Linked DNA regions of Daphnia pulex. The protein of the gene in region 2 binds, or shares a complex with, the protein of the main gene of each other region. Links are inferred from orthologs where the notes say so. Each region holds a gene or a part of one and is shown on either strand. Other genes may lie near its edges.

The links. Proteins that work in one complex are often made in the same cells at the same time.
Region 1: trafficking protein particle complex subunit 9-like (region 2) and trafficking protein particle complex subunit 11-like share a complex: the UniProt entries of both Homo sapiens proteins name them as parts of the multisubunit TRAPP (transport protein particle) complex. The link is inferred for Daphnia pulex from reciprocal best matches to the Homo sapiens genes TRAPPC9 and TRAPPC11.

What each region holds. Positions count from the first base shown.
Region 1 is NC_060025.1:1,285,085-1,295,009, reverse strand, and holds trafficking protein particle complex subunit 11-like, read right to left. Parts: upstream 6,484-9,925; 5' UTR 6,342-6,483; coding exon 6,141-6,341; intron 6,072-6,140; coding exon 5,902-6,071; intron 5,837-5,901; coding exon 5,648-5,836; intron 5,587-5,647; coding exon 5,182-5,586; intron 5,115-5,181; coding exon 4,787-5,114; intron 4,728-4,786; coding exon 4,649-4,727; intron 4,585-4,648; coding exon 4,530-4,584; intron 4,465-4,529; coding exon 4,051-4,464; intron 3,991-4,050; coding exon 3,813-3,990; intron 3,756-3,812; coding exon 2,920-3,755; intron 2,856-2,919; coding exon 2,618-2,855; intron 2,548-2,617; coding exon 2,353-2,547; intron 2,281-2,352; exon of another isoform or gene 2,280-2,280; coding exon 2,253-2,279; 3' UTR 2,193-2,252; downstream 1-2,192. Other genes in the region: TBC1 domain family member 10A-like, read left to right, coding at 1-401, 478-574, 645-859, 935-1,115, 1,180-1,254, 1,331-1,445, 1,504-1,658, 1,723-1,821; uncharacterized protein LOC124202179, read left to right, coding at 7,148-7,399, 7,472-7,665, 7,733-7,980, 8,060-8,203, 8,267-8,358. UniProt on the Homo sapiens protein: Involved in endoplasmic reticulum to Golgi apparatus trafficking at a very early stage.
Region 2 is NC_060024.1:7,056,732-7,066,656, forward strand, and holds the start of trafficking protein particle complex subunit 9-like, read left to right. Parts: upstream 1-3,940; 5' UTR 3,941-3,983; exon of another isoform or gene 3,984-4,167; intron 4,168-4,227; 5' UTR 4,228-4,332; coding exon 4,333-4,407; intron 4,408-4,464; coding exon 4,465-4,668; intron 4,669-4,710; exon of another isoform or gene 4,711-4,724; coding exon 4,725-4,878; intron 4,879-4,973; coding exon 4,974-5,272; intron 5,273-5,337; coding exon 5,338-5,455; intron 5,456-5,512; coding exon 5,513-5,663; intron 5,664-5,723; coding exon 5,724-5,855; intron 5,856-6,078; coding exon 6,079-6,295; intron 6,296-6,351; coding exon 6,352-6,426; intron 6,427-6,494; coding exon 6,495-6,696; intron 6,697-6,755; coding exon 6,756-7,208; intron 7,209-7,271; coding exon 7,272-7,460; intron 7,461-7,530; coding exon 7,531-7,705; intron 7,706-7,783; coding exon 7,784-7,966; intron 7,967-8,058; coding exon 8,059-8,219; intron 8,220-8,283; coding exon 8,284-8,658; intron 8,659-9,064; coding exon 9,065-9,645; intron 9,646-9,718; and 2 more. UniProt on the Homo sapiens protein: Functions as an activator of NF-kappa-B through increased phosphorylation of the IKK complex. May function in neuronal cells differentiation. May play a role in vesicular transport from endoplasmic reticulum to Golgi.

The DNA.
Region 1 (9,925 bases), on a different chromosome or scaffold from region 2:
AGTGCAACAACTGTGGAAAGACGTACATTTCGAAAAAGTCTTGAAAGACTTGAACGAATCAATATGATTGATTTAGAACCCTTTAGTTCTGAATCAGTCTACCGTCAGCCTTCATGTGAACAGGGTCCTAGTGGAGATAGGAAGCTAGCAAAACGACAAAACAGGCTCAGCAGAGAGATCCTTGGAGTTGATGATGCAGTGTTATCAGCTCCTGACATTGCCCAGTTCCAATCTCAGGAAAGACAGCTTCTTACAAAGAACCAATCAATGAATGGTTCCCTTAATCAAACCGATGTTGATGATGATGTCAGCAGTGTTATTTATGGTGGATCAATAGCATCAACAGTCCCCGACAGATATGGTTTCTTTGGAGGATCTCAGTTCAGTCATGACACTGAAATGTAAGTTTTATTTGTTTCCCTTGAATCCCCTATTAGTTTAACACTATTGTATTTGCTTATTTTGAATTCAATTTAGAAACCCAGCAATGATTGCCATTTTTCGCAAAAGAGAGCTGAAGTGGTTAAACATGTTAGATGATTGGGAAAAGTATATGACATACAAATACAAAAAGGTTTGGCAATATCTTTTATTTTTCTTGTCTTTCATGTTTCTATTAACACCCAATTATTTGTAATCAACAGGTAAGAGACAGGTGTAGGAAAGGAATACCCAGTTCTATCCGTCCCAGAGCGTGGCAATATTTGTGCGGCGGTGGTGTTCTAATGGAAAAGAATAAAGGCGTGTTCGACGATCTACTCGCTCAGCCCGGAGATCCCAAATGGCTGGATGACATCCGAAAAGATTTACATCGACAATTCCCCATGCACGAGATGTTTGCCGATTCCAATGGACCTGGGTAATTAAAGCAATAATGCTTCTCAATTATCGCTATAGTATACATTCTACTATTGTTTTTTTAAATTAAATTTAGTCAGGTGGAATTATTTCGGGTACTAAAAGCCTACACGATTCTCAACCCTGTGGATGGTTACTTTCAAGGGCAGGCTCCTGTTGCAGCTATGCTCGTTATGCACATGCCTGCAGAGGAAGCATTCTGGTGTATGGTTGCAATCTGTGAACGTTATTTACCCGGATATTATAGCCAAGGCCTAGTAATTAGATTTTATTGAATTTCATGCCTAAAATTTATTTTTTTAAATGGAATTTTAACATTAGGAAGCAGTTCAAATCGACGGTGATGTTCTGGTAGCTCTTTTGAGAAAAGTATCACCTTCCATCCATCGCCATTTAGTAATAATTAGCACATGATTCAAGTAAATTTCAGAATTGTCATCTTTTAATTATCTTGTTTGTATTTTTATAAAAGACGAAACAAAAATTAGATCCTGTGCTTTTCATGATGGAATGGTTCATGTGCATCTACACCCGTACGCTTCCCTGGTCCTCTGTACTCCGCGTCTGGGACATGTTCTTCTGCGAAGGTATTTCTAACCGCTGGCATTTTATCCGCCTTTTTTTAAATTTGCAATGTGTCTTTAGGGGTCAAAGTGCTCTTCCGGGTTGGCTTGGTCATCTTGAAGTACAGTTTCATGAAACCCAAGACGATGAAGGAGTGCCCGACAATGTACGAATCGATGGAAGTCTTGCGTCACCTCCATACGAGCGTCACGGAAGAAAACGTTCTTGTTCCTCGCGTAATTTGCATAACCTTTCAACAAAATCTATTTGATTATCTAATTGAATTATTGCGATTGATAGATGTTGAAGCTGCCCATCAACGAAGAAGAGATGGAACGTGTACACAAGAAAGTAGTCGAGCAAAGGAAGAAAGCTGCTTCTTCCCCTCAAGGCAATTAAAAATGCCATGCCTTATTTCCTTTTTGCTTCCTTTTCCCGTTAAAAGACAGAGTATATCATAGAGGGTATTATCTCGTTAAATGTAAGAAAGACCGAACAGACGCGGTTTCATATTTTCGTTTTTCTATCCCGTCAATCAACCAAAGACCTTTTTGGTTATTTTTCTCCCCCTTTTTCTTTTTGTTATTTGCGACGTGTTTGGACCACTTGATTGAATCTTCCCCTCATCCATCCTACTCCCGCCTCTATCCCGCGTTGTGTTTCCAGTCGGTGCTTTATATAAAATAATCCTATGTCGATAGAAAAAAGATAAACCATTTTTGCACTTTTTTGATAGATATTTTGTTATATATTTTGCAATGTGTGTTTTCCCTTTGAAATTTCATTCATTAACAAACGATTTAGTTTTATTTTAGTCGGAACGTAGCACGTTACTTGTTGCCATTCTTCGCCTGCGGCTAAAAAAACGAAAAAAGGAAACGCCAATTGAAGAACAAATTGAAAACGTGATTGAAATCTCCGAAAATTTACCAAAACATAAATGTGGGTAGGGACGTAACGGCTGACCAGCTCATCTAGAACCGTCTGATCCATCTCCGCTACTTGATCGATGGCCGACGTCGTGGTTTTCAACTGGAGTGGAGGCAAAGCCACAAAACCGGACAACAGCGGATACAAGTTGTATTTGAGTTCGTACTCATCTTCTGGATAAATCTGAATCTTAATCTTAAAATGACAAAAACCAGACAATTTAAATTGTGAACATTGTGAACAAAAATGTTTTGGAAAACTTTACTTGTTTGTTTCCAGAAAACATGAAAGCGTCATTGGAACTCATGTAGACATCCAGTTCAACGTAGCTAGTGCCTGGATTGTGAATGATGATAGCCATGTTCATTGACTCTCGAACGTATCCGTGAGCAGGTAGTTTGACTTGAATTCGCAACGGAATGCTCCAGGTTTCCATTTCGGGTAAGTCGAACGAACTGGCCGAGTAAGGAATTTTATATCCTTCCACTTTTGATTGATTCGCCCTAAATTTGCCGTGTTAAGTCAAAAATTTCCAGTGCCAACAACAGTGACTTGAAAGATTAATACCTTTTCCATTTCAAAGAGTAGGATCCTGTCCTTATATGGCGATTGTCCCCATTCGAAAGTGAAAGTACGGCCACATCGTTGGCTTTTTCTCCTTTTTGAAGTGTCAACCCAGATAGCTGACTATTGGGCATGGGTTGATTGGTTAGCAATGGGTCAAATTTCCAAACGCCTTGCTCCAGCAGTAAAGGAAATGGCGACAAGTTGGTCACCGTCATCACAGCGACACAAGGCTCTCCTACGGGGATCTGTCTCAATGGCTGGAACTGGATCGTCTGAAACTGAGCCTCACACTCGACGGGTTGGACCGTTTCCAGCTCGAGCGTTTTGACGTACTGACTCTTGTAAGTGCATTTACTATTGCACACCTCGCTGGTTATTTCGTAATTGACCTGAAACGTGACGTAATGTTTACCAGGCTGCTCCATTTGAGTAAACACGTTCCATTGGCATGTTTGCCCGGTTGCGATTTCTTCGCTCTTCAACTGAACCGACAAATTGCCGTCGATTTTAGGCTGGTCGTGAACTCGGCCGTCAGTGCTGCTAGTCGTCACAGTCACCGTGACGTTGCTAATATCTTCTTTTTCCCGATTGACCAATTCAAGGTGAAGCGGATAACATTCACCACGAAGGGCCGGGGCGTCATGTCGGATCAAAAGCTCAACGTTTGCAGTCCGGGGCAGAATTTCGGCCGTGTTCAATACAAACAAACCGGACAAACCTTTCTCTGTAGCCGAAGGAAATTCAGAACGTGATGACCCAAATTCTTCACTGGAAGATCCTTCGCATCGCAAATAAGCCACAAGGTCATGCCCCATCTCCAACGTGACTGAAACAATCTATGGATGGATGAAATTACTTTCTCTTCTTCAATTGCCAATCAAAGTTAAACCTACTTGAAGTTCCGCACCAATGTCTTGAGATTGCGCAGCAAATTCAAACTCGTAGTGTCGGATCTGATTGGGTTCAAATTCCAACTCTTCCGGATCCTTCACTTGACAAAAGGGCAAATAGGCAGTATTGTTGAGAGCCACGTGTAAACTGGTGAACTGTATCGCCTTTGGACCCGTATAACTATTATGAAATTAAAGTTATTATTAAATTTGTATTTCAAGAGTAATTCCAACTCTTTACCTAACGTGAACTTCGAGTTCGACAACATCTTCGGCAGCAAATTGCTTTTGAGTAAAAGTGGCCTTGACTTCAACGAATGACGAAATCGTGTTGGTAACGATCGTGGTTACGCAGGCGCCGCTGGCCAAACTTGCAAATTGATCAGCCCATAGTTGAGTAGCCAACGAAACCGCGGTAGAGTCGGGAGGCGGCGGTGGTATCCTCTTTTGTAGGATTCCGATGAGATTATCGAATAATTGGCCCTTTTCATCTTGGCTTTTCATCGTCACCCGGGAACACAATTCTACGGCATATGTGAAGTATTCGGCAGGCCGACCGGAAAGAAAAGCACAACGCAAACCCAACTGGAGTAAAGATGTCAGTGGCATCCACCAGAAATCTTTGCGGTAATCCCAGAGCAAAGGTTCGAGCAACCTATACAAAGCGTTAATTTCCATTAATAATAAATTAAAATAAAAGTTGAAGTCAATTTTTATTACGTAAGGGCTTCCGCAAAGTTTTCCGATCGGCAATATTCTTCCGCCATTTGTACCACTAGGAGAAGAAAAATTTTAGTTTGCTCTGATACTGACTTTTAAAAGTGTAAGTGATAAATTACATAAATACTGCTTCATCCGAGGAGATCGGTGATTTTTAAATTGATTTACTGCATTTGTAAGAGCAGCAACGATCATACCCTACACACCAAGTTAAAATCGCTTATCAAAATAGGAAATGTTTTAATAAAAGGCAGTACCGTGAGATCAACTTGATGTCTTTCGCGGATTAACATTGCAGCAATCCCGTCGTTCTCAGCTTTCATATCAGCTGGTTCAAGACTCAACCGACTAGGTCGCCAGGGTCTTTGACCGAAGAATTCCAATTGTGACGATTCGCCGAACGATAATGGAGTCAAGTTATTAATGACAGTTTCGTCGAGAGCATCGTAATCTTGGTAGCAAGCCTTCTTCCTTAGGATGGATTGCTGCGCAGACTGTTGGTAGAAGAAGCCAGGATGTTGAGTCTGGATTGCCGGAAGTCCTAACTCAATCGCATCGTCAAACAAACTGCCAAACGTCGAAAATCTAAACAAAAGAATTCGTAAAATTTAATGAAAAATAATTTTTGAAATAAATTTTATTTTAATTTTACTGGGCAGCCAGCCAGGCGTGATGTTCGAATTTGCTCAAAGGGTTACCAATCCGCAGCCGAAAAAAGTCCATGTGACTCCTGAAATGGGCGATAGCTTCGCGAGGCAGATTGAGCAAGAACGAGAGACGCCAGACCTTGTAGCCGATGTATCCAGCGACAATCTTCACTTCAGTGACATTGGCATCTGTGATGCGAAGCTCTAGCAAATGGGCATACGATTGGCTGTAATGCTTGTGCGCCATGGCAACGTCCTGCTTAAGCTCGTGGTAAAATCCGATTTTAAACTGATGTCTCACAAACAAGTAGCCGTGATTTGTACGGTTCAATTGGTCGCGGTGGGAGCGAACGGCCCTCGATGACAAATGATAACTACTTTGACAAAGTTCGTAAAATGCGCTCTCCAACCTGTTTCGTAGTATAGTGTAACATTATATAACTCACGACTACATTTAAAATAACGTGATACCTCAAGGTGTATCCCTGTAGATGATCGCTACGGCAAGGAAGGACAAAGAGCGATTTAGGTGGTAATTCACACACTTGGCACAAAGCTGCAGCTCTATCTGCTGCCAAAATATCTTCACTGGAAGGTAATGGAGGGCTATTTTGTAAGAGGACTAGGCAGAGCTTACTACCCCTTCCCATAAGCTTCATACTGGATAGAAAAATTATAGTTAATAACAAAATATTTGAGTTCAAGTTTATGACTGAATGATTTACCGAGTTGTTTGGATTAGATGTGCACATTCTGCATGTTTAGCTTTCCATGCAGGATCGTCCCACTCCAAATCATAGAAGAGAACCAAGACACCTGGAATCTGTTTCAGGTGTTTGGACATCCATTTTCTTTTGAGGATGCCTTTAGGAATGTACCATTCATATGACGTTCTCTAAAACAAATGAGTGAAAAACAAACATTTAAAAAAAACTTTGATCTCTCAACCTAAAAGATAAATTACATCAGGTTTCGCCAGGGGGAATGCATGATTAACTCCAAAAAGAACGAAATGGAGGGGAGGTCTCTCGCTTCGATTAGATGACGTGAAAGAGTTCCATATCAGCAGGTGAGTCTGATTCGTTTCAACATTCAGTCCCGTCAGACCGACCAACGCTAACGGTCGATCCACCAACTCTTCGGGTAATTCGAGATCCGAGCTCATTATTTTTCTAACTTCAAGGGCGATGATGAACAATGTGTAAAAACCATGAGAAGCCAAAACAAAACTACGAACAATTTCCACCCTAAAACTCTACCCCGGTAGCAGACGAAATATCAAACATAGAAAAACAAAAAATAATGCTGTATTGCCAGTTTGCCAATTTTCAAAATTTAAGGTAAACTTTCTTTGATATTTTCTTAGTTTGTTTTGTACATACCCTGCACCCAGAACAATGTTAAGACAACGTGGAAGTAATTCGCGGAAATATGCCTTCCTAATTAATTAAGCTTAATTAATTCAATAGGGTTGGAAAACCATTTGAAAACAAACAAAACAGCATGTTGATGGGACATGGGAATGAGTCATGGAACACCCTTTAAAATTCCACGAACTCTTTTATCATTAGGCTTTCGTAGTAATTAACAAATTATTCAAAACAAAATTGTTACTCATCGTACCGATAAGGCTATAACAAAAGAGAACTTCGGACCCCATGCCCCATGCGCAATTAAGAACGGATTCAGAGTTGCCAAATTTTGTCTGACAAATTTAATTTTTATTGAACCCATCCCTTGATTTGCCATAAAGAAAATAATCTTAGTTTATTACTCGCCCCTTGTTACAGATTGCAGTCGAAAAACGCCGCGCTGTAAGAGCGTCGTCACGTGTCACCTTTATTAATTCCAATTGGTACTAGTTTTATCGGTGGTTCTTTTGGCATTTAATTTAAGGTACATCAATTCTTCTCATTACTTTATTTGCAATGTTATTAAATTATTCCACGAGGTGTTAGGTTAACAAGGAAAATGGCTAGACATTTGCAATCGACACCATCAATCGTCGTGGAAGATGTCGACCGAATTCAGACTCGTTTGGAATTTCAGTCTCCACCATCGTATACACTAAAGATCCAAGACAACAACAACTGTCATTCGCCATTGAGTCTGTGTACCAGTTTCGGCATAATCAAACCCGATGTCGACGCTTATGTCACGCCCCTCTCTCTTTGCCAACAACCGTCGACGCCGATTTCACCTTCCGTCCCAGTTTACTTTCCAGTTGAGTTTACTTGTGCAGCAATTTGTTTTGTTGTATTGCTTAAACTAATTGATTGAAAATTGAATCGACAGTCGAGAGAAAAAGTCATTGTGGTGTCTGGTGGTGCGATGCCGCCATGCTTGGCCACGTCAGGATTGGAGAGCAGCTTCACTTCCGTCGATATTGGCGGCCCAAATCATCCAACCGCTAGATCATCTATTGGCGATAATGATTCGAGTTGGAATTCCGATGTTAGCCATCAAACCACTGGTTGCTTCGATCTCAAGTAAATTTTTCTTTCCATAACTTTATGGTATTTTTAGTGTTTTAATTGAAATTTCTTGAACTGATAGATCGGGTCTGATTTGCGTAACACGGGCTATTACTGGTAGTGTCGATCCAACAAGAGAAAAGTGTGATCACCACCGAGTCGACATGAGTGAAAGTCCTTTAGAATTGCATCCAGTCAAATCTGGACGACCATCAGCTGGGGTGCATGGGTCCAAGAAAAGAATGTCGGCGTGTTCCATGATTGGCATTTTCTTCATCTGCCTCGCAGTAGTCGGACTAGTCGCTATTGGAATCGCAATGTACATCGAATGTAAGGGTTTATTTGTTTTTTTACTTTTTGATCTTCGTTACCAAAAAGACAATCGCTTTTATTTCAATTGTTTTTCCAGTCGTGTCGAAGCCGTTGTGGATCGCGAAAAGTAAGTTACCGGTATTGAACGAGACGACGATATGCGACTATTTGCTTGACAGCTGTGATAATAGCACTTTGTTGGCTACCACTGCTGCTGAGCTAACTGCTGGCAATCAAAAAAGTAAATTAAGGAATCATGTTTTTGCAAATTTGAAGGGAAGGCTAATATTTTATTCTGTATTAGATTTCACATTGGAAAGCGGTAGAGTGGAAGCGACATTTAGCAGCAATTTTACCAGCCAAATCTCCAGCAAACTTCCTGCAAAAACAGCATGAATAATCTAGTCCTTTGAGAGACTACTCACGTTTTATTTTAAACACTGAACGAAATTTATGGTGTCGAAAAGAAATTGATATGATTTTAGATTCTTGATTGTTTATTTGCAAATTTTATGTATATGATGAGCGCATTTTATCACACAATACAGTATTAAAATTTTATTTCTCAACATTTTGAAGTTTGAATGCTTTTCATTACAGCTATGTGGCGCCATGTACGGCATTTTCATGAACCATAACTTCCGCATAATGGTAGTAAGATACATGGCCTTCATTTCTATCAGTCTTTACCGAAAGTAAGATTAGCAGAGCCATAGATACCTGGTCGGTTCTCGGCTGTGTTGGCTTCCCTATCCCGGTTTCAGGGTAAACGTATCCCCGATTTTCAGACATTTTAGGGCGGAGCTTGTCAGAAGTTGTGAAGTGGAAAAATGAATCAGCGCCATCTAGTGATAAGACGTTGACTTTCAAATAATACTTTCGGCGGCCATTTTTGTGTAATATGTGAATACGTTCGCCATCATCGTGTATTACGTGAATGAAGCCTAACCATAATTTCTGTAAAAATGGTTGGCAGGCGTGCTGTTCCTGGTTGTAAATCAACATATTTCAAAGGAAATCAAAAAGAAAACGAGGTTACCCTGTTTGCAATTCCTAAAACTTCATTATCAAAATGGCGAGAACTAATTCCATGTAGTAATTTGACGAGTACATATTTGCTCCCATCATTTTAACGAAAGTGACTTTCAAACAGGGATTGAAATTTTGAACGTGTTCCATCCTTACAAACGGTGGACTCTTAATGCTGGAGCAATGCCCTGGAAACCAACATTTTCTGTTAAATGGTAGTAATATTGTATGTTCTGTACAATCTGTAATGCACAGAAACCGAACCATTTTCATTTTAGATACATCTAGTCAACAAGTAATGCAAAATGTTGATGTTTTCAAATGGAGAAATAACGTAAGTGGTATTTTTACATATGTTTATTTTGTTTAATATTAAATAACAATTCTTGAATATATATTGTAGTGGAAGCTCCCTGGATCATGTGTGAGCTAATGCAGTTGATGGTCAATTTGTGGCATGTACTCTATGAAGCTGAGCCAAACTATGCTACGTTTAACAAATACGCCCGAGTATTATGCTCCGTCGCTTCACACATTCACGAATCCAAAAGCATCATTCAAGCAGCTCAGGAGAAGGATTTGAAGACCGTCTGGTTTGTTACCCCTCCCTGCATGCTGAATGTTAAATTGATGCGACAGCTCGTTGAAGTCTCATCCCGCTTTGTGAGTAATCTTCCCGATCTAAAGGATCATTTGGCAGTAGTTGAAAGTTCCAAAAAGAAATCCTCGGCTTGCCCAACAGAACTTAGTCGAAACTGGGAACGAAGACACAGGTATATGCGAGAACTTATGGACCAAGAAGAGACAAATGTTTCAACCAGATATAATGTGCACAAATTATTGTCTTTAGCTGAATGTGGTGTTTGAAATAACAATGACAATTTTGTTTGCATACAAGGAGAACTTCGTGATACGATTTCTTTTATTTTTCATA
Region 2 (9,925 bases):
TTAAAATCGGCTTACTTTTACCCTTATAGAGTAGTCCATGGACAACGACTTGGTAACTAGAACTAGAACTTAAGTTGGTCGCTAGGGAATGGAAGCCCAAAACCGCCACTTTTTCAATATAATAATGATTTTCAAAATATCATTACATAAAACAGAAAAGAATATATAAAAAACAAATTCAATATAAAACTGAAAAAAGTATTATATAAAAACCAAAAAGAGTGTAATATAAAAAACAAAAAGTTGATATAAAAAGCAAAAAAAGTCAATATAAAACCCAAAAAAAAGTCAATATATATAAAAAATATTCAATATATATAAAAAAAATTCAATATAAAAACTGAAAATGTATTATATTAAAACCAAAAAGAATATAATATAAAAAAACAAAAAGTTGATATAAAAAGCAAAAAAAAGTCAATATAAAACCCAAAAAAAGTTCAATATATAATCCAAAAAAGGTCTATATAAAAACAGCAGCCACCTAGCGATCAAAAGAATCACTTCATGCCACATCTCCACCCCCTTAATAACCAGTTTGAATCCAGTAGTACAAACGGGGATTCTTGCGCGATAAACGCGTATTTGAGCATTTATTTAATCACATAATTAAAAACGAGCAATCGCTTAACTAACGCTACTTAATGCGCGTCGCTCTAAATTATTATTTTTTAAAATGTAATTCGAAGTAAAACGACTGTGGCTGACTGCGGCGACTGGTCAGACGAGTAACGCGAGCCCGTCCGTTTTTTCCAGCGGTTATCGCTGGTCCGTTTGCTATTTTAGCACTGCCGCCCGTCGACTGTTTTCGGTGGCTCATTATAAGCGAAAAATAATCCATTCAAATGTTTTGCGCTAAGCGCGCGTTGCGCTAGCGATTGGTTTGCAATAAACTTGCGCGCGATGCGCTATATTTAGCGCAATTCATTGCATCTCATTTTTACGAAACGCGCAAGCGCTTCGTTAATTAAAGTAAATGGTTCCGGAAAAGAAAACCATTGCGCGACTGGACGAGTAGCGCGTGCCCGTCCATTATTTCAGCGCTTATCACGAGTCAGTTTACTTGTCGTAGCGCTTATCGTCGCCCGTCCGCTGTTTAATAAGGCGACTCGCTGTGCACGGGTTATGCGCGTTTTGTAAATAATACGCATCTTGCGCGCGACACGCTAAATTTTGAGCATTTTATTTAATCTTTAATTAAAAAACGCACAAGCGCTTAAATAATTTGAGCGCTTATTTCTGGTTCTTCAAGCTGTGTTAGCGCTATCGCCCGTCCGCTGTTTTCAGCGGCTCATTATGCGAAAAATAATTAAAACACATTTTCATTCTAGATCTAGCGCTAAATAAACGCGCATGGCGCTAGTGATCTATTTGCGATTTACTTGCGCGCGATGCGCTAAATTATTTAGCGCAATTCATTCAATCGTAGCATTTTATGAAACGCGTAAGCGTTTCGTTAATTTAACTAAATGGTTCAGGAAAAGAAAACCATTGCGTGACTGGCTTCATTATTTCAGCGCTTATCACGAGTAAATTCGCTTGTCGTAGCGCTTATCGTCGTCCGTCCGCTGTTTAAGGCGGCTCGCTGCGCAAAACAATGTCAAAGTTCTAGCGCTGCGAAATCATAAACTCGCTTATGATAAACTTAAGATTAACTTGCGCTCAATGCGCTAAATAGTCGGATTAAGTTCATCACATAAATTACGAAGCGCGCATATAATTTGCTAAAATAAATATTTAGCGATAGATCTAGCGCAAAATATATTGACTTCATTATTTTTCGCGCTAAATATTTATTTTTGCTAGTTATTTGCGTTTGTAAATTATTTAATGAATTTAAATGCGCTTAATTTGACGCATTGCCTGCAAGTAAATCTTTAGTTAATTATTAGCGCAATGGGCGCTTAAGAAAGAAAGCGCTACATCTAGCGCGAACTATTTAAAATGTTTGGCCCAGCGAGCCGTGTAAAACTTTGGACGGACGACGATTAGCGCTAATAAGGTAGCGAACGGACTCGCGACAAACGCTAATATGATGTACGGGCGCACGCTTCTCGTCCCGTCTCGTCCATTTGCGGTAATCGTTTACCCTTTCGCAACATTTTATTAAAATTAACGAAACGCTTGCGCGTTTCCTAAATAATGCAATGAAATAAATTGCCCTAAATATAGCGAATCACGCGCAAGTTTATCGCAAACACATAGCTAGTCCCACGATCGCTTCGATAGCGCTAGATCTAGCGCGAAACATTTCAATTAATTATTTTTCACGCAATGATCCGCCGAAAACAGCGGAAGGAGCAGCGGAAATAGCGGACGGGCTCGCATTACTCGTCTAACCAGTCAGCGCAGTGGTTTCCCTTTGCATTCAATACAAACAAATAATTTAGAGCCATTCGCATTAAGTAGCGTTATTTAAGCGCTTTCGCTTTTTTAAATATAGGATTAAATAATACGCTCAAATTGAGCACATATCGCGCAATAAGCGTTAAACATTTATTTTATCGCTTGCGTGTTTCGTAAGCTATAAACGGACTCGAGACAAGCGCTAAAATTATCAACGGGTGTGCGCAACTTGTCCAGTCGCCGCAATCGTTTTACCTGTCGCATTTATTACTTTTATTAACGAAGCGCTTGGGCGTTTCGTAAATAATACAATGAAATAAATTGCGCTAAATATATATTTAGCGCATCGCGCGCAAGTTTATCGCAAACCAATTGCTAGCGCAACGCGCGCTTATTGCAAATCATTTGAATGGCTTATTAGCTTATAATGAGCCGCCGAAAACAGCGAACGGGCGACAGCGCTAAAATAGCAAACGGACCAGCGATAAGCGCTTTTAAAAAATCGGACGGGCTCACGTTACTCGTCTGACCAGTCGCCGCAGTCAGCCGCAGTCGTTTTACTTCGCTTGACATTTAAAAAAATAAAAATTTAGAGCGACGCGCATTAGGTAGCGTTATTTAAGCGCTTGCTCGTTTTTTTATTTTGTGATTAAATGCCCGTTTGTACTACTGGATTCAAACTGGCTATAAAGGGGGTGGAGATGTGGCATGAAGTAATTATTTTGACCGCTAGGTGGCTGCCGTTTTTATATTGAACTTTTTTGGGATTATATATTGAACTTTTTGGGGGTTTTATATTGACTTTTTTTTGCTTTTTATATCAACTTTTTGTTTTTTATATTACACTCTTCTTGGTTTTTATATAATACTTTTTTCAGTTTTATATTGAATTTGTTTTTTATATATTCTTTTCTGTTTTATATAATGATATTTTGAAAATCATTATTATATTGAAAAAGTGGCGGTTTTGGGCTTCCTTAGTGAAATTAACCCAACCCGACAGGCTTTAACACGGCGAGGGAAAGAGTCCCGTCCTTAGGGCTGTGGCCCGGGCGATGAAAACCCGGGCCACCGCCCGGGCTGAACGAAAAAAAACCCAACCCGACTCGACCCACCGAGGCATTTTTTTTAACGGGGCGGGCGACGGGTTGAACCCCCGGGCCCGCGGGCCAACCCGAGCGGTGGCGCCATCTAGTAGTCAAATAGAGAAGCTCGTTATTCTCTATGCCTGCGGCCTCAAAATATTGCCGCCAAATGCTCTACGATAATTTCGTAGCATGAAAAGTAAGATAAGTGGTAGAAAAGGGCGTTCAGGGGTGTTCAGAAGACAGAATTGACGTGTCACTGTTGGAAGAAGAAGATAATTAAGAAATTTAGGGATTTTTTTTAAGTTTGTAAAAAAAAAGTGTGTTTGACCCGATTTTTTACCCGGGCCGTTACCCGACCGGTATAAATTTTTTGACCCATGGGTTGGCCCGGGCCAAACCCGGTCACTCAGTTGGCCCAACCCGCTACGACCCGCGGAAGAAGAAAAACCCGTCTAAAAAACCCATTAAAAAAAAACCCGCTAAAAACGTCCCGGGCCACAGCCCTACCCGTCCTCTTAAATAGAGTAGTCCATGGCCTGGTTATAAACTGTATGTGGTTTTGCTGTTTCGACTTCACGATTGTTTTCAATTTTCTAGACAAGAACAGTAACTAGTCATTTCAGGTTAGATTTACTGGTGTCGATGCTTGATGGTGTCATGGGAAAGGAGCAGAATTAATTTTTGAATTAATTTTAATGACACAGTTTGAGTATTGACACACTTGAAAATTGAAGTAAAAATCTTCATTATTATTTAACATATTCATTACGGTTTCATATTTGTTTCATAACAGGTTTTAAGAAGAAGAATTCTGGAAGTGATTGATAATAACGTTATCATTTCTGTGTTGTTCAGTTCAACGCAAACAAGGAAGAAAACTATAACAACTTATATCCTCATGCGATCCGCTGTTAGTGCAATTTTGTCATCTCCAGCTCCTGAGTCAAATATGTCTCACCCAGATTATAGACAAGTAAACAATTATGTTAAAAAATATGAAAATACATCTCATTTCCAATTTTAATTCCAGACAGCCCATGATCATGCTTCCTTATTAATTATGGTGAGGCATCTTGGGTCAAAGCTCAACACCAGAAACTTTTCTAGACTCTATGAACGAATATCAAGGCAAAACAGTTTTAGGATTAAAGATAGCTCAGGAAGTGTGAGAAATATTTCAGCCCGCTATGTAAGATCCTATCCTATTGAAAACAACGAATGGGGAGATTTCCAGGTGAGTTATATTTTGGAACATAAATTTTCACAATTTTTATAGACCTTGGAATTTAGACCCATCGTAGAGTTCTTGGCCTTATTTGTGTTGGTGAATGCTCAAACACACAGGAAGTGAGTGAACTGAGCAAAATTCATGAATCTTTAAGATCAAAATTCAGTGGAACTTTGTATGATTCATGCTGCCTTTTTCTGGGGCTACAACATGATGGTAAGTGATAGAATTTGGTTTTCAAATTATGTTATCTTGAGATAAGTTATAAAGGTTAAGTGTTTCCTATTTAATTTTGTTCTGTCTGTTGAAAGGTACACCTTATGTGTCGTCAGTTTCAGAAGCTTCTCCAAACGAGAAACAGCAGCTAGAGCTCTCCAAAGATCCTGAGCATTCAACCTTGCCAATGAAAAATCACAACACACAGATAGAAATACCTTCTTTAACTGATAAAGAAAGGGCAATTACTTGTGACATCAGTCACCAAGATAGTTTTAATGAAACATCAACATCTACAAACTATGATAACATCAGTAAAGTTGTATCTCATCCATCTCGTACTCTCTATTATCCTAGTCTTGACAAATGTGTCACTCTAGAAGCAGATTTACAGGTACTATAACTTGAAGTGCTAAAGCTTTTGATTTCAGTTCATTCTAATTTAGTTTGTTGTGTCAGGATTTTGTTTCTTCCCTTTTTTGGGTATTGGAATCGAAAAGGCTTGTATCGATCAGCAACATCGACAAGGAAAAGCAGCCGTTTTTGTGCGCACCATTCGAACGAAAGGATTTAATTGGTATTAAAAACATTTTTAGGATAACCCAGGTGACATATTGTGTTATCCCTCTCTCAGGAATGGATTTAGAATCTCGAACTCATCGAAAACGTTGTGTTGGTCGATGGAGAAAGCAAGTAGGAGATTTATCTCTTCAGGCAGGTTTGTTATCCGAAGCACTTGAACAGTATCAGGCGGCAGCGGATGTCCTTAGACCTGCGAATGATTGGTACTGAAAGAAATTTAATTTTCTACCAAGTTAGTAGATGATTCGTTTAATGTTCAATAGGCTTTGGCTGGCTGGATCTTTTGAAGGACTTTGCGCTGCATCGATCATACTCTTATATCCTCATCTACGGAGGCCCGTCGCCATCCAGAGAAACGGGTCGTTAACGGGGGAAGGATTTAATAGTCGAATCAGGTATAAACAACATCGCATATGAGTGTATTTTAAATAATAAGGGAAATTCCCAAGCTAAGCAATTGTATTACGTAAGAAATGGTGGCAAAAAACCACAAAAAAATATTAAAATAAAAAACAAAACAAAAAACCTTTCCTTTGTTTACGTTTCGGCGTGATATACCTTGTACACATATTAATTTCCTTTGAGTTTGCTAAAATTCATCAATACGATTTCCTTCAGGTCAAATTCTTCCGGAGTAGGAGTGCGTTCTCTTCCTCCTGATATTGATTCTAATCACCATTTTTTGAAGAATCGGTTGAAATTCAAACATTCCCTTGGACCGGATGAAGTGATTGAAAAGTACCATGAAGCCGTTGTTCATTACTCCAAGTATCGCAATGCAGGAGTTATAGAAACAGAAGCGTCCATAAAAGCTGTCCATGTACTTATTGAACAGGTTCGATTTTTTTTTTTCTAGTTCTTTTCAAAAAGCTGACTTTTCTGTTTTGGCAGAGGAAATACCTTTCGGCTGCTGAATTTTTACAAAATGTTGTTTTTATCAACTTACACCTATCTGATGAAGAAAAGGTTTCAGAACTTTCATGTACCATAATTTATCGATTGAATTGCTTTAAAAATATCAGTTCACATTCTAGATTCAGAGATTTACTGCCCTTTCAGAACTCTACAGTCAATTAGGATTTAAACGGAAAAGCTCATTTTTCCGCCGCGTGTCCGCAATGCGTTGTGTTGCCCCAATGACAACAATTCAACCCAACTGGACACTTTGTTATCAGCTTCTTCTTGAGTCTATTGACGGATATAAACTCTCACTGGATCCTGCATTGCTATCTCATGGTTAACAAATTTTAATACATTTTCTTCATGTGAATATTATCCTTTTTAAATGCTAACAGAACACGCATGTGGGTGGCACGCGCTTCAAGTTCAAATTTTACAAGAACTTACCGGGACTGCAAGGCGATTAGGAAATGTTCCATTGGCCATTCGTCATGCTTCTTTGCTTGTTCACTTGCTTTTGATCCAGCAGCAACAAGTTGGTGCTATTCCAATATTGTCAAGCCAAGAGCAAGCCGAAATGGCTAAGCAGCTTGATCAGCTAGCACAACGCTCAGAAATGCCATTGCATCCTGGGCCACTTGCTCTAGAAAATGGCACCATTATTCCACCGGTGTCCTTAACTCTTTTACCCAAAATTGTTCATTTCAAACTGCAACCACCTGGAGCTGTATTGGCTGCTCAGAGGCTAATGCTCGAAGACGAAATCAACAATGGCCCCTTTTTGTTTACTCCTATTCAGTTTGGGTCTTTCAGAAAGCAACCAACAAGAAAAACTCTAGTTGAAATGGGTCTGTGATTTTATTATTTTTTAAATAAAAAATAATTTGCCAATAATTTTTTTCGAGTTTTAGATTTTCAATGGGTAGAAGGTGATCATTGCGAAGTATTAATACAAGTTATTAATCCTTCTTCTTATGAATTACGCATTACGAATATGCAATTGTTGACGGAGGATGTAGAGTTCGAGTCAGAATCCAGCTGTATCATTCTCCCTCCAGCTGTTGATCAAAAAACAACTCCCACAGTTATAACTTTGAGTGGTAATGTTGGTTTTTCTTCATCCTGCTATTGTCGTCTTTTCTTCGTGCTAAATAAACCTTTTTTTTTCAGGCATTCCACGCAGACCCGGACTTCTCAAAATTGTAGGCTATTCAATGACTGTGCTTGGTTTGAGAAACCACTGCAAATTGAAAAGTGCTATGCCATTAATGGGCAGTGCTTTTTTTTCTATTCATGTGGTCCCTGCTTTACCACGATTATCTGTTGAAATCGCATCGCCAAATCAGTAACTTTTTTACATACCGCTGCGCAATTATTTATTATTTCTAAACTAAATACTAATTGTTTCCATAAATTTTTGTAGTACTTTAATGACCATATCTGAATCTCAATCTGTAGCAACGACTAGTTCAGTACAGTTGTATGCTGGCCAGAGTACGGAGTGTAATCTAACTTTGGTTAATACGAGCAGCGTATCGGTCGAATCTTTTGATTTGGAATTAGTTCATGGTAACAAGTTATCTTCCAGTCAAGTCTTCAGTGTAAGGTAAGCTTTGTAAAATATAACTTTCTTTTTCTTTTTTTTTAAGTTGTTTGAATACCTGCCCAATTATTTTATTCTTCATTTACGGTCTTCAGTGTAGATAATTTAAAGGCTCAGCTTCCATGGCAATCTGGTACAGCCGTAAGTGTCACTGTTTACGTCCAAGGCGCGAGTGATTTTATTTTACCAGCTATCACTGATTATCTCTCAAATCTTCATTCGGGGGATGACTCTAACAGTCTCCCAAGCTTATCAGGTATCATTCGTATTCATTATAGATAGCAAAAATAGGGTTGACTATCGTATTTTATGTGATCTAGGTCCACCATCAATATTTTCGCGATTAAGTAATCATACCACAGTTACTTGTTCCCCAAGGAATAAAGCTAAGCGAGCTGAATCACTAGTATCAGTTCGTTCAGGAACATCTAGTGTCAGATCCGGAGGAAGTAGCAACCTTCGTATTATTGAATGTCAGGGCAACAACCATGTTGTTCCTCGCACCGTTGCAGTTCTACTTAAGCTTCAGTATTCTGGAGGACCTGGATATATTGCAGGATTTTGCCGATCAAATGGCGTCGGTTTAACGGTTGAAATTTTGCCATCAGTCATTATTACAAAGTGGGATGTGCTGCCTGCAGAAACTCCTTCGCACTGTTACCTAGTACTCGACATTCTGAACGCAACCCAACACGGTAACGCAATATTCTTTTCTTTGCTAGGTATTAATATAGTTTAAACATTTCAAGAATAATAGATTGACTGCCCGCGATGAAAGTAAAACACATGCTATTATCATTCTGTCCGCCGTAGTTGGACGATAAGTAAATTTATTTGATCTTCGCTTTTATTTCAACGATACACACGCTGGTTGAAATTTCACCGCCGTTTCGATACACCATATTTAAAATAGTTTTTCTGGATGGCGTTGCATCGTCTCGGATGCACGAGTTTATTTTTTATAGCATCTGTGTAATAAATTCTTGGAATGCATATGAGAATGAGAGTAGTAATGATTTTTTTAAAACATTATTTCTCTCATCAGCTTAACATTAAGTAGCATAGATTAAAATTTAACGTTACAAATTCTTATACTTGCAGAAATGGAGCTACAGTATAGCAGTTGCAAACACATTGCCATAGAAGCGCTTGATACGTGTCGTATTCCAGTACCTGTTGAACGATGTCCATTGGTCAAGCTAACCCATGTTTACACTGAAAAGGACCTGAGTCCAGAACAGCAACTTGAAAAGATTGCCAGGATTTGCAGCGAACATATTTCCTCCTTAGTTGAGCTAAAGTGGAGCTTATCTGGCGTCAATCAAACTTGTACTTCTATCAATGAAAACATTGAACAAAACTCGACTAAAGTAATAAAAGGCAAAGCTTCGTTGAGTGGCCTGCGCATAGCTCCATCTATGCTGGATCTTCTACATATTCCTCCAATTCAGCTGGAGGTGGAACTAAACAATGAAATATGGTCAGCTGAAAGAACCGAATTTATATGTGTAGTGGGAGATGTATTAAATGTAACAGTCGGTTTATTCAATGCATTAAGTAAATTTTTGGGTCCGCTGAATCTTCAAATATCGGTATATCAAGATCTGCAAAATGGCACGTTTCATCGGCGATTAGACACACGCCTGCTTACAATTGGATCAGATCATGCTGTGCTAGAAAAGGTATTTATTTTCCTTATATGCTCCTTTAGTATCAAAATGTCTTATCTGTTTCTGTTTTGCTTTCTTTAAAAAGATGGAGCCAAACAGTAACTACAAACATTGTTGTGGCATAATTTTTTTTACACCGGGGACTTACAAGCTGGATGTTGTCTGCTCACTCAAAATTTCGACTCAAAATAGAGAATCGAAATCTAATCTTCCGTATGATTCAACTAATGAACAACATGTTTGGAAATTTGTCCCCTCGATCGAAATTATCGTGTCCGAACCATTATGATTC